Linked DNA regions of Mus musculus. The protein of the gene in region 2 purifies or fractionates together with the protein of the main gene of each other region. This does not show direct contact. Links are inferred from orthologs where the notes say so. Each region holds a gene or a part of one and is shown on either strand. Other genes may lie near its edges.

Region 1 (5,688 bases), on a different chromosome or scaffold from region 2:
CAGACATCTTTGCCAGCTGAGCCATCTTGTTAGCCTGTAATATTTTTAAGCAATCAGATATACATTAGATTGGTCACTGAAGGTGCTAGGTGGTGCTTTTCTGCTTGCTTTTGAAACTTCTCATTAGTGAGGCCAAGGACCAAAGAAGAAAAACTTCCAGGAGGGCAGAGCATGTCCACTGACTCAATGCAGAGTTCAGGGCTTAGCAAAGGACTTGGCATGAAACAGGTAGCCAGATATCTTGTCTCAGTTAATCCCTGCATGTAAGAACCACGGTACTGAACTCCCTTTGAACATCTTGGCCTATCCTAAGCAATTTTGGAAGACACAAGATGAGGACATTTCCTTAGTCACATCTGCTTACAACATGTACTGAAACACCTCCAGCAGAAAACAGCAGGTCATCTCACCAGAGATTTCTAGAAGCCAAACCACCAGGCTTCAGGAAGAAAGGACAAAATGATTTTTTTTTTCTTCCCTCAAGCAAAATGCTCCTCTGGCAGACGAAGTACCTCGGCAGCATTTGGAAAAGTTATGAAAATATGAACAAGCAGATATTAGGACAATTTTCTTAATTCAGCACTGGCTATCTCTTCTTGTTGCTAAGAGGCATTTTCTTCCCCCATATTTGAAATTACAAACTACCTTCCAAGACTCCAGTGTCTCAAAAGTATCCTCCCACATCTGACTCTCACCTGCTCCCGCTGCAGGAAGGGCAAGGCCATTCACTATTTGCTTTACACTGGAGACCCTAGGCTGGAGATCTTGCATGAATAATACACGTTACTCTGAAGCAACTGAATGTGACTTAAATCATAAATATAATAATTATCTTTTTGTACATAAAGCTCAGAGCTAATCTTACCTCACTAGACTGAGTCTCCTGGACACAGGATGGAAGCACATTGTTACAACAGCTGACAGAACACAGAAAAAAGGAATTTAAGGCTGTACAGCAAGCAGCTAGAATCAAAAGGTAAAGTTCACAAAGCCAGCTTCTGTAGTTTTCACACTATAAAAATACCACATGCCTCCTGTTACTGTCAAATTCAATAGCAGAGCAAAGTAAAGCAGATGAGCTTCCTCTCAGGAGACAGGAGACCTGACTGCTAGATGAAAACAAATCTATGCTACCATCAACTGTCTTCAAAATGCCTAAAAATCCATTCCAAGACTCTGCTATTTACCCATTTTTACCCACCAAAACAGGCTTACTGATCTATGATTAATAACAGGTCCCAAGTGTAGTCTACGAAGCCTCCATACTACCACTATCAGGTAGTCCCTAGCAAAGGCTGAGGGTAGAAGGAAGTCCCTGCTATTTCCCTAGTACCTTCCTCTACTTTGGCAATAGGTGCAGCAAGATGAAGATGACATCAGCTTCAATTCTAAATGCCTAAATGCACTTCATCTTTCTTGCAGTAGCGCTGGCTGGCCTTGAGCTTCCTGCTTCTACCTTTTAAGAGCTGGAATACAGATACAAGCCAACACACCCACTTACATTTCCTTTTAAGTAAACAAAAAAACCTTGTACTCACGGGCTAGAAGTCCCCAACAGCTCATTACTACTGCCTCTTTTTCAAAACAGGTCACCTGGGGCTGGATGCAAGCAGCAAAGAACTCACTGATGTGCCTATTTCACACTGAGAGTTGCCCTTAGACCTTCAGATTTAAACTACCCTTTCTTAAATTTCTAACTTATTTATGTGTATGGGTGGTTTCCCTGCTTGTCTGTGCACTACTTGCAGAGGCCAGAAGAGGCTGTTGGAACCCTGGGACTTAAGTTATAGACTATTAGAAGCCACCTTATGAGTATGGGACTCAAACCTAGGTCCTCTGCAAAAGCACACAATGATCTTAACCACCCCTAAATTAACTCTCTTGTCTAGGATTTTTTTTCTTCCAAAAACCAAAATTTTAGGTACTGGCAGTTAAATTTTTATACAAATACAACATAAACTTTTATACACAACATAAAGACAGCTAGCAGGGACAGTATACTTTCACTAACAAGAGGCAAACAGGAAAAAAAAAGTGAGATAGGATCTTGCTGTTTTTCCAAGACAGATTTTAAACAGTTCCAGAGCAGTTGGGAATCTAGGTGTATACTGCCATATCTATCTTAGCTGGGGCATTTTAAGACTCAAGTACAAAGTCAGACCAAAGTGGTGAACTACCTCATTTCTAAGAATACCACCCCTGCAGGAGATTTATTGCCCACTGGTATATTCTATATACTCAACTACACAAAGCCAAATGGCCAGCTCACAAGCCATGATTTCTGAGAAGATCCCAAAATACATACATTTTCCCCCAGAACTTTGGTAATACAATTCCAGAATTTTCAAAAAACGATAAAATCACTATTATTTTCACCAGCTATTCTATATTAACTGTGAAAAACAGTTCGGGATTTAAAGCTAAAACATCAAAATGTGTTTAAATGTTATGACACTGTGAACCAATATTGGTCAACTAAGGGGGGGGGTTGAGACCGACAACTGAGTTTTACAGCATCTACTTTAGTTAAAATGATACAGCTGTAGACTACCCGACAGGTGAACTATACTCTAGTCCTATCAAAGCCCTGCTTTCTCTGAATCTTACTGTTCATCTGAATATTTGTTTCAATACGTTATTTATTTAATAATAAACATTTATTATTAAAACTGAGCCAGATTAAATCTATTTGAATTTAGATGCAAGGTACCATCACACTTAACCTATCAGGGACTTAATTTGCAATACAGGTCGAATACTCCTATACCAAAAAAAAAAAAAAAAAAAGAAGAAGAAGAAAAGAAATCAGAACGTCCCAAAACCCACTTCTTTTCGAGCACATTTTGGATTTCCAGATTAGGTACGCTCATCTGTCAGACCTACAAATATTCCACAAACCGAACCACTTCAAAACCCAGGCGTTTCTTGCTAATGCACAGTCAGCCTGTTGCACCTACATCACGTACTATTGTGAATGAGTTAAGACACGTCAGGAGCTTAAAGGAGCCCCTGGTGTGTAGTAAGCGGAGATTAGTCACCGAGAGGAAGCAACTACTATGACAGGAAGGCGGCAGTAACTTAAAAGCATTTAACTTTTGGACCAAAAACTTAAACTTGAGTCTTTTTGCTGTGGAATATGCATATGCTCGTTACCGCAGCGCACGCGCCGGAAGCTACCGCGGAAATTCCTCCAAGAGGCAGCGAAGCAGAGTTGGAGGAAGTGCGGGCCAACTTGCCCCAAGGATACCCTCGGAAGAAGGGGTACTGCTGACGACCCTGAACCCGTTAGGGGCGCCCGGGTCTGAAGGCTCAGTGTGTGTCACTAGGCTGGCTCCGCCTCCACCGCAGGCTCAGAGAGTGAGGTCTGGCTCAGAGACCGGGGCACTGTGCGGAGAGCATGCAAAGCCCGGAAGGGCGAGGCGGCGGCCCAGTAGACCCCTTCCTTCCCAGGCGCGGTCTGAGACGAGGCGTACCCAGGCCCACCTCGCTGGGGAGGCCTTGTCCTCTCAAGGAACCGCCTGCGCCGCTTCGCGTGGGTTCTCGGGCGGCGGGAACAAAGCGCGCTGACCTTCAGCCGGGGGCGGGGCTGCACGGAGGAGGGACCGGCCCGCCATCCGCCGCCACCCGCCACCCGGACCTCTGACCCGGTCGCCGCCCGCCTCTGCTCGCCGCCATGGCGCGTCGGCCTGCCCGCGCCGCCCACTCCTCCCCGTCTCCGCCTCCTCCGCCCCAGTCCCTCGCCAGCCGCCCGCCGCGCCGTTACCCGCCAGCACCGCACCTCGCGCCTCCTGCGGCAGTGGCGCCTGTCCTAAGCTCGCTCCGGGGCTGCACCGCCGTGGTCGCCAACAAAACCACCTGCCATTGGCCGTATCGCCGGGCTCCACCCTCTGCGAGCAAAACGGGCGACGAATGGACAATAGAGCTGTTTATCAACTGCACCAGGCACTAGGAAAGGCGGTATCCAATCAAAATCTGTTGAGGGAGCACGGCGTCCAGCCTAAGCCCGCGAGCTATATGTAGTTAGAGTAGTGACGTGTGTTCCGGCGCACGCGCAGTTCGTGCTTCTTTAAAGGGGCTGCTGGGCGCGCGTGTAGGACTTTGGGCTTGTTACAACCTCTAGGGTTTGAGCTTCCTGGACCACATCGGCAACGCTCTTTCCAGATTACTTACAACTCCCTGCCTTCCCCCGGCCTGGGAAAAGCACCGCCTACTTCTCAAGGCCTTCTGACCCTCTGTCTACAGTGCCTGCCTGGCATGGGACTACCCTTCTGATAGAAAAGTTCAGCACATCTGTACTGGCTGGTTTTGTGTGTCAATTTGATACAAACTAGAGTTATCTGAAAGGAGGGAGCTTTGAGAAAATGCCTCCATAGGATCCAACTGTAAGGCATTTTCTCAATGATTGGTGGGAGAGGACCCAGCCCATTGTGGGTAGTACCACCCCTGGGCTTATTGGTGGTGTCTGTAAGAAAGCAAGCTGCACAAGCCAGTAAGCAGCACCCCTCCATGGCCTGTGCATCAGCTTCTGCCTCCAGGTTCCAGCCCTGCTTGAGTTCCTATCCTGACTTCCTTCAGTAATGAACAGCAATATAGACGTGTAAGCCAAATAAACCCTTTCCTCCCTAACTTGCTTTTTGGTCATGGTGTTTTCATTGAAGCAATAGACAACATCTGATAAGAATAAATAACTTGCTTGCAGATAATGTGTGTTTTCCTAACAAATTCTACGAACAGGGCAGTTGGAAACAAAGCTGGGTATGGTGCAACATGCATGCCTTCAATCCCAGTACTTCTGAGATAAGAGATACAGGTGACAGAATGAGCAGTTTGTCACTTCCAACTATGTAGCCAGTGTGGGGCCAGTCTGAGCAACATGCAACCCTGTCTGAAAAACAAAAACTTAAAATGAAGTGTGGTTACTGAAGGCCAGAAGGTCTACAGCATTGTTTTTCTGTATTACTTCTCTTTCATTCTTAAATTGGAACTATGTATAAACAGTTTCGCTTACAAAATTAAGGAAAGTAAATAAGCTCGTATGTTTTTACTTACATTTTTTTCTGACATACATTTTTTTTTCCTGACATTTTGATTGGTTAGTGGCTGGTTTTGCTTTTCCACGACAGGGTTTCTCTGTGTAGCCCTAGCTGTTCTGGAACTCGATCTGTAGACCAGGATGCCCTCAAACTCACAGAAATCCACCTGCCTCTGCCTCTCCGGTGCTGAGATTAAAGCCGTGCAGCAGCACCACCAGGTTTTTACTTCATTTTTATTTGGGGAGTGGATGTGGTTAAATCAGACAAGTATAGAAAATAGTTTGGTAGCCAGGGACTTATTTGGTTTGGACTACACATAATGCTTTTCTAATAATGCTCTGGGCAGTGTAAAAGTCCCCCCAACATATTTTTAAAAAAGATTTATTTATTGTATATAAGTACACTGCAGCTGTCTTCAGACACACTAGAAGAGAGCATCAGATCCCATTACAGATGGTTGTGAGCCACTATGCGGTTGCTGGAATTGAACTCAGGACCTCTGGAAGAGCAGTCAGTGCTCTTAACCGCTGAGCCATCTCTCCAGCCCAAACCCCCCTTTTTAATATTAAGTAAGACACCAGGCAGTAGTGGCACACACCTTTAATCCCAGCACTCAGGAAGAAGAGGCAGACAGATCTCTAGAAATTCAAGGCCA
Region 2 (5,636 bases):
GTAGCTTCGCAGCTCTTCTTCGGGCCTTGCCTCTGCGAGCTCTAGGTGACCTCAGGGAGAGCAAAGCTCTCCGAGCCCAGGCAGCCAACCGAGTCCTTGATGCCCTGCGGGCCCAAAAGGCTATGGGTCCCCTTGAAGCTCTGCGAGCCATGGAGGCCATTAGGGCCTTTGAGACCCTTCGACCACCTGTGGCTTCTGAAGCCTGACTCTGGTCACTGTTGCCATCCTCTTCTCCATCCGGGTGTTTCCCCTGCATCGAAAGAGGGGAAGGTCAATATCAGCAAGTGGTGCAGGTGGCTCTTTCTCTTAACTCAGTCTCTTCTGGAAAGCACACCCAACGCTGTCTCTTCTAGGATACATCCCCACAACCCTGCCCTTGTAGTAAGACTCTGCCTCACTGGACACTAGCCATCCTGAGTCATGGGCTTATCACTGACTACCAGTTGGGAATTTCCTCCCTGAGTGGATCAGGAACAAGTCAGAAATAAGGCCTGAGGCTTTCGTCTTCCCACATCCACCCCTGACCTGACTCTGCTTCTAGCACCATTGACGAGCCAGTCCTCTTTCTTTCTGGGCATCAGTTTCCTGCCATACAGAATGGTACCATAAGGAGTTACTTTCAGATATGAGACTACACATGTGAATAAGCCTACCTCAAGGTCTATAGTGTACAGCTACTCTGTACATATAAAAAGCTGCATTCCAGTCAGCATGAAGCTATGTATATGCCTGCCTCATCTCCCCACCAGCCTGTGAGCTCTGTGGATACAAGAACTGTGACACACTCCTGTTAGTGTGCGCTGGGTCTTTCAGGAACACAGGAATTGTTTTAATTTTGGCAGACAAATGAACAAGAAGATTGTGGAGAAGCAAGGATGGGTATGTCTTACCTTTTGGGTATTCTTGGCTTTGACCTTGGGCCGAGTATCCTGGTTCTCCTGAACCTGGACAGCTGTACCCTCAGGCTCTGGTTCATCTGTCCCAGCCTGAGAGGCAGGAGCCTCAGTCTCCGGAGCCTTTGTATTGACCTTTGGATCGGTACCACAGCTGACCTTTTTGGTCGGGGTTGTAGGCATTGTCATAGCCTGCAGGTCAGACTTCTGCGTCTTGGTGTCAGCTGCTGGACTCTTGTTTTCAGTTGCCAGAACTTGGGTCTCACTCAGCTGTGTGGTAGGTGAGGCCTGGGTGGCAGCTGCCTCAGACGCCTCTGGGGCCTTTGAGACCTCTGTCGCCTTTGGGTTCCCAGAGGCTTTTGGAGCCTTTGCAGCCTCTGAAACCTCTGGTGCCTTTTCTGCCTTTGGTGTTTCTGAGACCTCCAAGTTCTGGGTCACGGTCAACAGGTCCTGCATCACGGAGCCGCTGTCCTTTTCTGAAGCTTTGCCCTGCAAGGGAAAGCAAGGAAGTTCACTGACCTTCTTCCCACCCCTCAACAAGGCAAATGGTCCCAAAATTAGGTGGCTACACTTCTCTGACCTGTAAAGACTCTTACCTGTGGTGTGCTCTGACCACCCCAGCCTAAACAGGCTTCCCAGTTAAAAAGTAATGACAGAACCAAGGGCCCGCCCACCCTCTCTCCCTTCCTCTTGGCCTCCCCTCCACTGGGGAGAGGGGATGCACCCAGGCAAAGAAGTGGGTGGAGAATGACAAGGATGGGAGGAGAAGCTCCAAGGATTTAGGGCAGCAAAAGGGGCTTGAAAGGCAAGCAGCAAGAAAGGGGGGGGGGGGGTATCGGTCTTACCTGAGAGCGAGCTGGATCTGCACCACTCTCGCTTGTGTCAGACATGTCTCAAGTTCACCTAGCAAAGCTGAGTTCAAAGAGAAGGCCTGGGTCAAGTGGAGAGCCCGCTGAACGTCGTATCCCTTGTTCTGCCTAGAAGCTGATCCTCACCTTCTTTAGGGCCCCAAAGCCCAGCCCCTCCCGGAGCCCCAACCAGTAGGTGCTCAGATACAGAAATTCTGTCTCTAGGTCTCAGTTCTCTGCAGCCGCACCCTCCCCTCCTCCAGGAAGATGTGCCAGCGCGGCAGCTCTGAGGACCCCGCCCCCTTTTCCCAGCGCACCCCCCCCCAGCCGCAGGCTTAGAGTGCGCATGCGCGTCTTCTGCAGCGCCCTTTCAACCCCGCCTGCTTTCCCAGTACAAACCCGTTCTTTGAAGTCCACCGTGCACATGCGCATTCAGCAGCTGGCCCAGTCTCTGCGAGCCCTTCTCAACACGCCCCTTTCTAGCTATACATAAAGCGCATGCGCAATGTCCACGGTCTCAGTCCAGCACCCAACTCCTATACACGCCCCTCTCCAGGTCCGCAATGCTGTTCAGCCCCGCCCCCTCCCCAACAAACCTTCCATCCAAATTGTCGCAGTGTCTGGTGGTCCTAGCCCCTCCCCTACTCACAACCACCCTATCAATTTCACAGAGCCTCCAGGTCCCGCCCTTTATCCTAACACGCCCCCCTCCAAACGGTAAAACCCAAATTGGTTTGGCTCCTTCCCTGTAACACCCCCTCCTCAACTCAGGATTGAACTAGTGATTCCATCTTAGGCCCAGCCAAACGGGGTCCAGTCCCCTCCCTTCCTAGCTGGATGGATTCGGTAAGATTTGGCTCTTAAGGCAGGTTTTCTCCAGATCCCAGAGGGTGGGGCCGACCCCTAGCAGGCTCTCATCCAAAGCTGGGGCCCATGACTTACCTCGTCCTCCTACAATTCCCGAGTGTGTCCACTCTCTCCAAGCCCCTCCGAAACTCAGATACTGCCCTCCCCACTAAAGGCCGGAAGTGGTCCCGCCCCTTTCCGCCTCCCTAGGGGGCCTCCGTCCCAGCCCGTCTGCCCCTCCCCCCTCAACACTCCTTATTCCCCCCCTCCCTATTCCCTTGCCTAACTCCGGACTCCCTATTTCCCATCGCATTTCCTATTTACTCTACAGAAATCTCTTCCCATTCCTTACATCCTTCTCTGTGTTACCTATGCAACCCCCCTCCCCAGTGTCCCTTAACCCTTCTCTGCATCCCCTATTCTTGTCCCTGGATCTCGCCTTCCCCTTCTTATTTCCCCATATTCTTCCTTCTCCTCCAAGCATGCACAGTTCCCCTTTTTCTCCCCTCCACCTCTGCCAGTCTCTGCTGTCCAGTTCATATACAGCTTACTACTTTCTTGGTCGTTCTCATTCTCACACCGCATCAAATGCAGCACTTCTGCTCCAGCTATAGTGGTCAAATAAGAATTGCCCACCTGCCCAGCTATAGGTTTCAGGTAGTTAGAACCACTGTCTGCTCACCAGGAAAGCCCAATGTTGTTCCCTCACCTTGTCCTCCAGTGAGTCTGGGATGCGTGTGCCTGCTCCTCTCAGTCCCTCTCGAAGTCTCAGCCTCCTGGACTAGAGCTGCAGACAGCCCAGCCCAGCCCAGCCCCTTTCCGCAGCCCCCTACCCCCCGCCCCCTTCCTCGGGGGTGGGGCAATGGGGCCCTGCTCAATGCTGTCTGACGCCAAAGCCCATGTTTATGCCTCTGTACCAGGTTCGGTCTGAAGCCCTTCCAACCCAAACTGCCCCCACGAAAACGATTCATTCATTGAAATTATTTATTTTATATCGTTATTTTTCTTACTACAAAAGTAGTGTGTTGTCATGTGAAAACCAGAGAAATGCAGAAATATGTAACAGAAAATTAAAAGCTATCTTTAATCTCCTTCCTCAGAAATACTCATGACATTGAGTACTTTGATAGACATTCCTCCATTAATTTTTTAATTTGTAGTCTGATTATGTGCACTTTCTCCCTACACCGGCTATACTAGTTACCTACTGTTCTGTAACTGCTTTTTTTCAAGTTATATATTCAAACCTCTTTCCCTTAGCATATGTTTTTTTAGAAATGTATAATGTTTTCTTGTATAACTGTCCTATAATTTATTTACTTAGTTCAGCTTCGTGTACTTTCTGGGTTGTTTCCCCCTTTTCGAACTATTACAAACAATGCTACAAGGACCATCCTGGTGTCTATATTGGACTGTTTTGTTGTTTTATTATGTTTTGCTGATTCAATTCATTTGAAAAAACTACCATTTTCAGCGTAAGTTAACTGTACAAAGTAATGACTTTTATTATGGCATTGACAGATTCACCCTCAATAACGTTTTTCACTAGTTTGAAATGGCACTTCTGTTGCCTGATAAATTCACATAAACAACTGGGTGTCTTCATGAGAACAAGATAAAATGTAAAGACAAAGAGAAGTAGACAAAATATCATTAGCAATAGAGCAGGTGAATGCAGACCCAGAAAAAGCTTATTATAAACTATAATTCACGGTAGTTATAGAAATAAAATTCAAGATCTTTCTTATACACAAATAGTCAGAAGTCTGCTTCTTGAGGTCACCTTTGCCCATACTGGACAAATGAAAGATAGCCAATCCTTATGGCTTTATGGACAATTTGATTCACATACATTTTCACACATCATCAAGGCGGGTTTATATATTCGTTTCATTTCCTATAAACTGTTACTTCCCCCAAGTTTGTAATGTCACCCTTCTACTTTCTTATCTCCTAGGCTCTCTCTGCTGAGCACAAATGAATAGTCTCTCATTTTCTTCCAATTCTGGTGCCCCAAATTCCTATCCTATCCAACTTATGGAAAACTTCCAATACCAAGAAAATAAAGTTCTCAAACCTGAGGGTCCTGAGGGTCTATGAAAGCACCCTACAGCTGGTCACCACATAGATGTTGTAGGTGTGTGTTTTAGAAGATCTTAGGTGTTGTATGGGGATTAAGTGTCTTCTTGGAACTAGAGAGCATAGCTATGACCTTGGTAGTCATCCAAACAAGCAGTGCTTGTGGTTTGGCCTAGAGTGTTAGCAGGGGAGATAGTGAGGAGATTGGTGGGGGCGGGGTGGACTGCTAGGACTTGATGAGTAATTGGATTGTGGAGGGGTGGATTGGAAGGAGGAACATAGTCAAATATTGGCATCTTTCTTTAACAGATAGTGCAGATAGTGACCCTTTCAGTGAGTCATGGAATAATGGAGTTAAAAAGGAAAAGAACATTGATTTTATGGCACTGGTGGTACATCCAGGTAGAAATGTCAAATTGGCAGTTGGATAAGCCTGTCTGAGAATCAAGAAAAAGGTCCGAGTAGAGGGTATCAATCTAGAAATTGGCACTTGTATACTTTAGGGTAGTAGTGCAGTAAATAACAAGAACTTAATTCCTGACAACTTTGCTGAATTTCCTTTAATGAGAAACATGTATGCCTCATTCAGCCATTGTATTTTCGAGTCTACACTGTGCCCCAGTTTCCTGGTGGTTCTCAGTGTCATATTGGTATTCATGACAGTGAGTGGATTTTCAAGAAACACCTATCTCTATTTGCCAACCTTTTTCTTCTGAAAATTATATCTAGTTGCCCATATACCAGTTAAACAACACACTTTACTATCAGAAGATGTGTTCTCTCACCTAGGAACTTCTTCCCATGAAACTGCTTTCTGTGTGCTCTGTTAACAATTTCTAACATTTAGAACTCCATGTTGATTCACTTGTGGTCTCTGGAGGAACAGAATTAGAACCTTGCATACTATTGAATTTAATGAAGTAAGCTCAATTCATGTTCATCAGCCGGGCAATGCCCTTCCTCTCTTTTA

The links. Proteins that work in one complex are often made in the same cells at the same time.
Region 1: the proteins of Maged2 (region 2) and Nap1l4 purify together in Homo sapiens (affinity purification with mass spectrometry; 3 studies listed by BioGRID and IntAct, counting the BioPlex papers as one, with this or other methods). This does not show direct contact. The link is inferred for Mus musculus from reciprocal best matches to the Homo sapiens genes MAGED2 and NAP1L4.

The regions. Positions count from the first base shown.
Region 1 is NC_000073.6:143,545,264-143,550,951, forward strand, and holds the start of Nap1l4 (nucleosome assembly protein 1-like 4), read right to left. Parts: upstream 3,858-5,688; 5' UTR 3,779-3,857; exon of another isoform or gene 3,764-3,778; intron 3,684-3,763; exon of another isoform or gene 3,474-3,683; intron 918-3,473; exon of another isoform or gene 866-917; intron 1-865. UniProt on the Homo sapiens protein: Acts as a histone chaperone in nucleosome assembly.
Region 2 is NC_000086.7:150,810,933-150,816,568, forward strand, and holds the start of Maged2 (melanoma-associated antigen D2), read right to left. Parts: upstream 3,414-5,636; 5' UTR 3,297-3,413; exon of another isoform or gene 3,270-3,296; intron 2,776-3,269; exon of another isoform or gene 2,684-2,775; intron 2,331-2,683; exon of another isoform or gene 2,141-2,330; intron 2,071-2,140; exon of another isoform or gene 1,806-2,070; 5' UTR 1,784-1,805; coding exon 1,739-1,783; intron 1,383-1,738; coding exon 891-1,382; intron 251-890; coding exon 1-250. UniProt on the Homo sapiens protein: Regulates the expression, localization to the plasma membrane and function of the sodium chloride cotransporters SLC12A1 and SLC12A3, two key components of salt reabsorption in the distal renal tubule.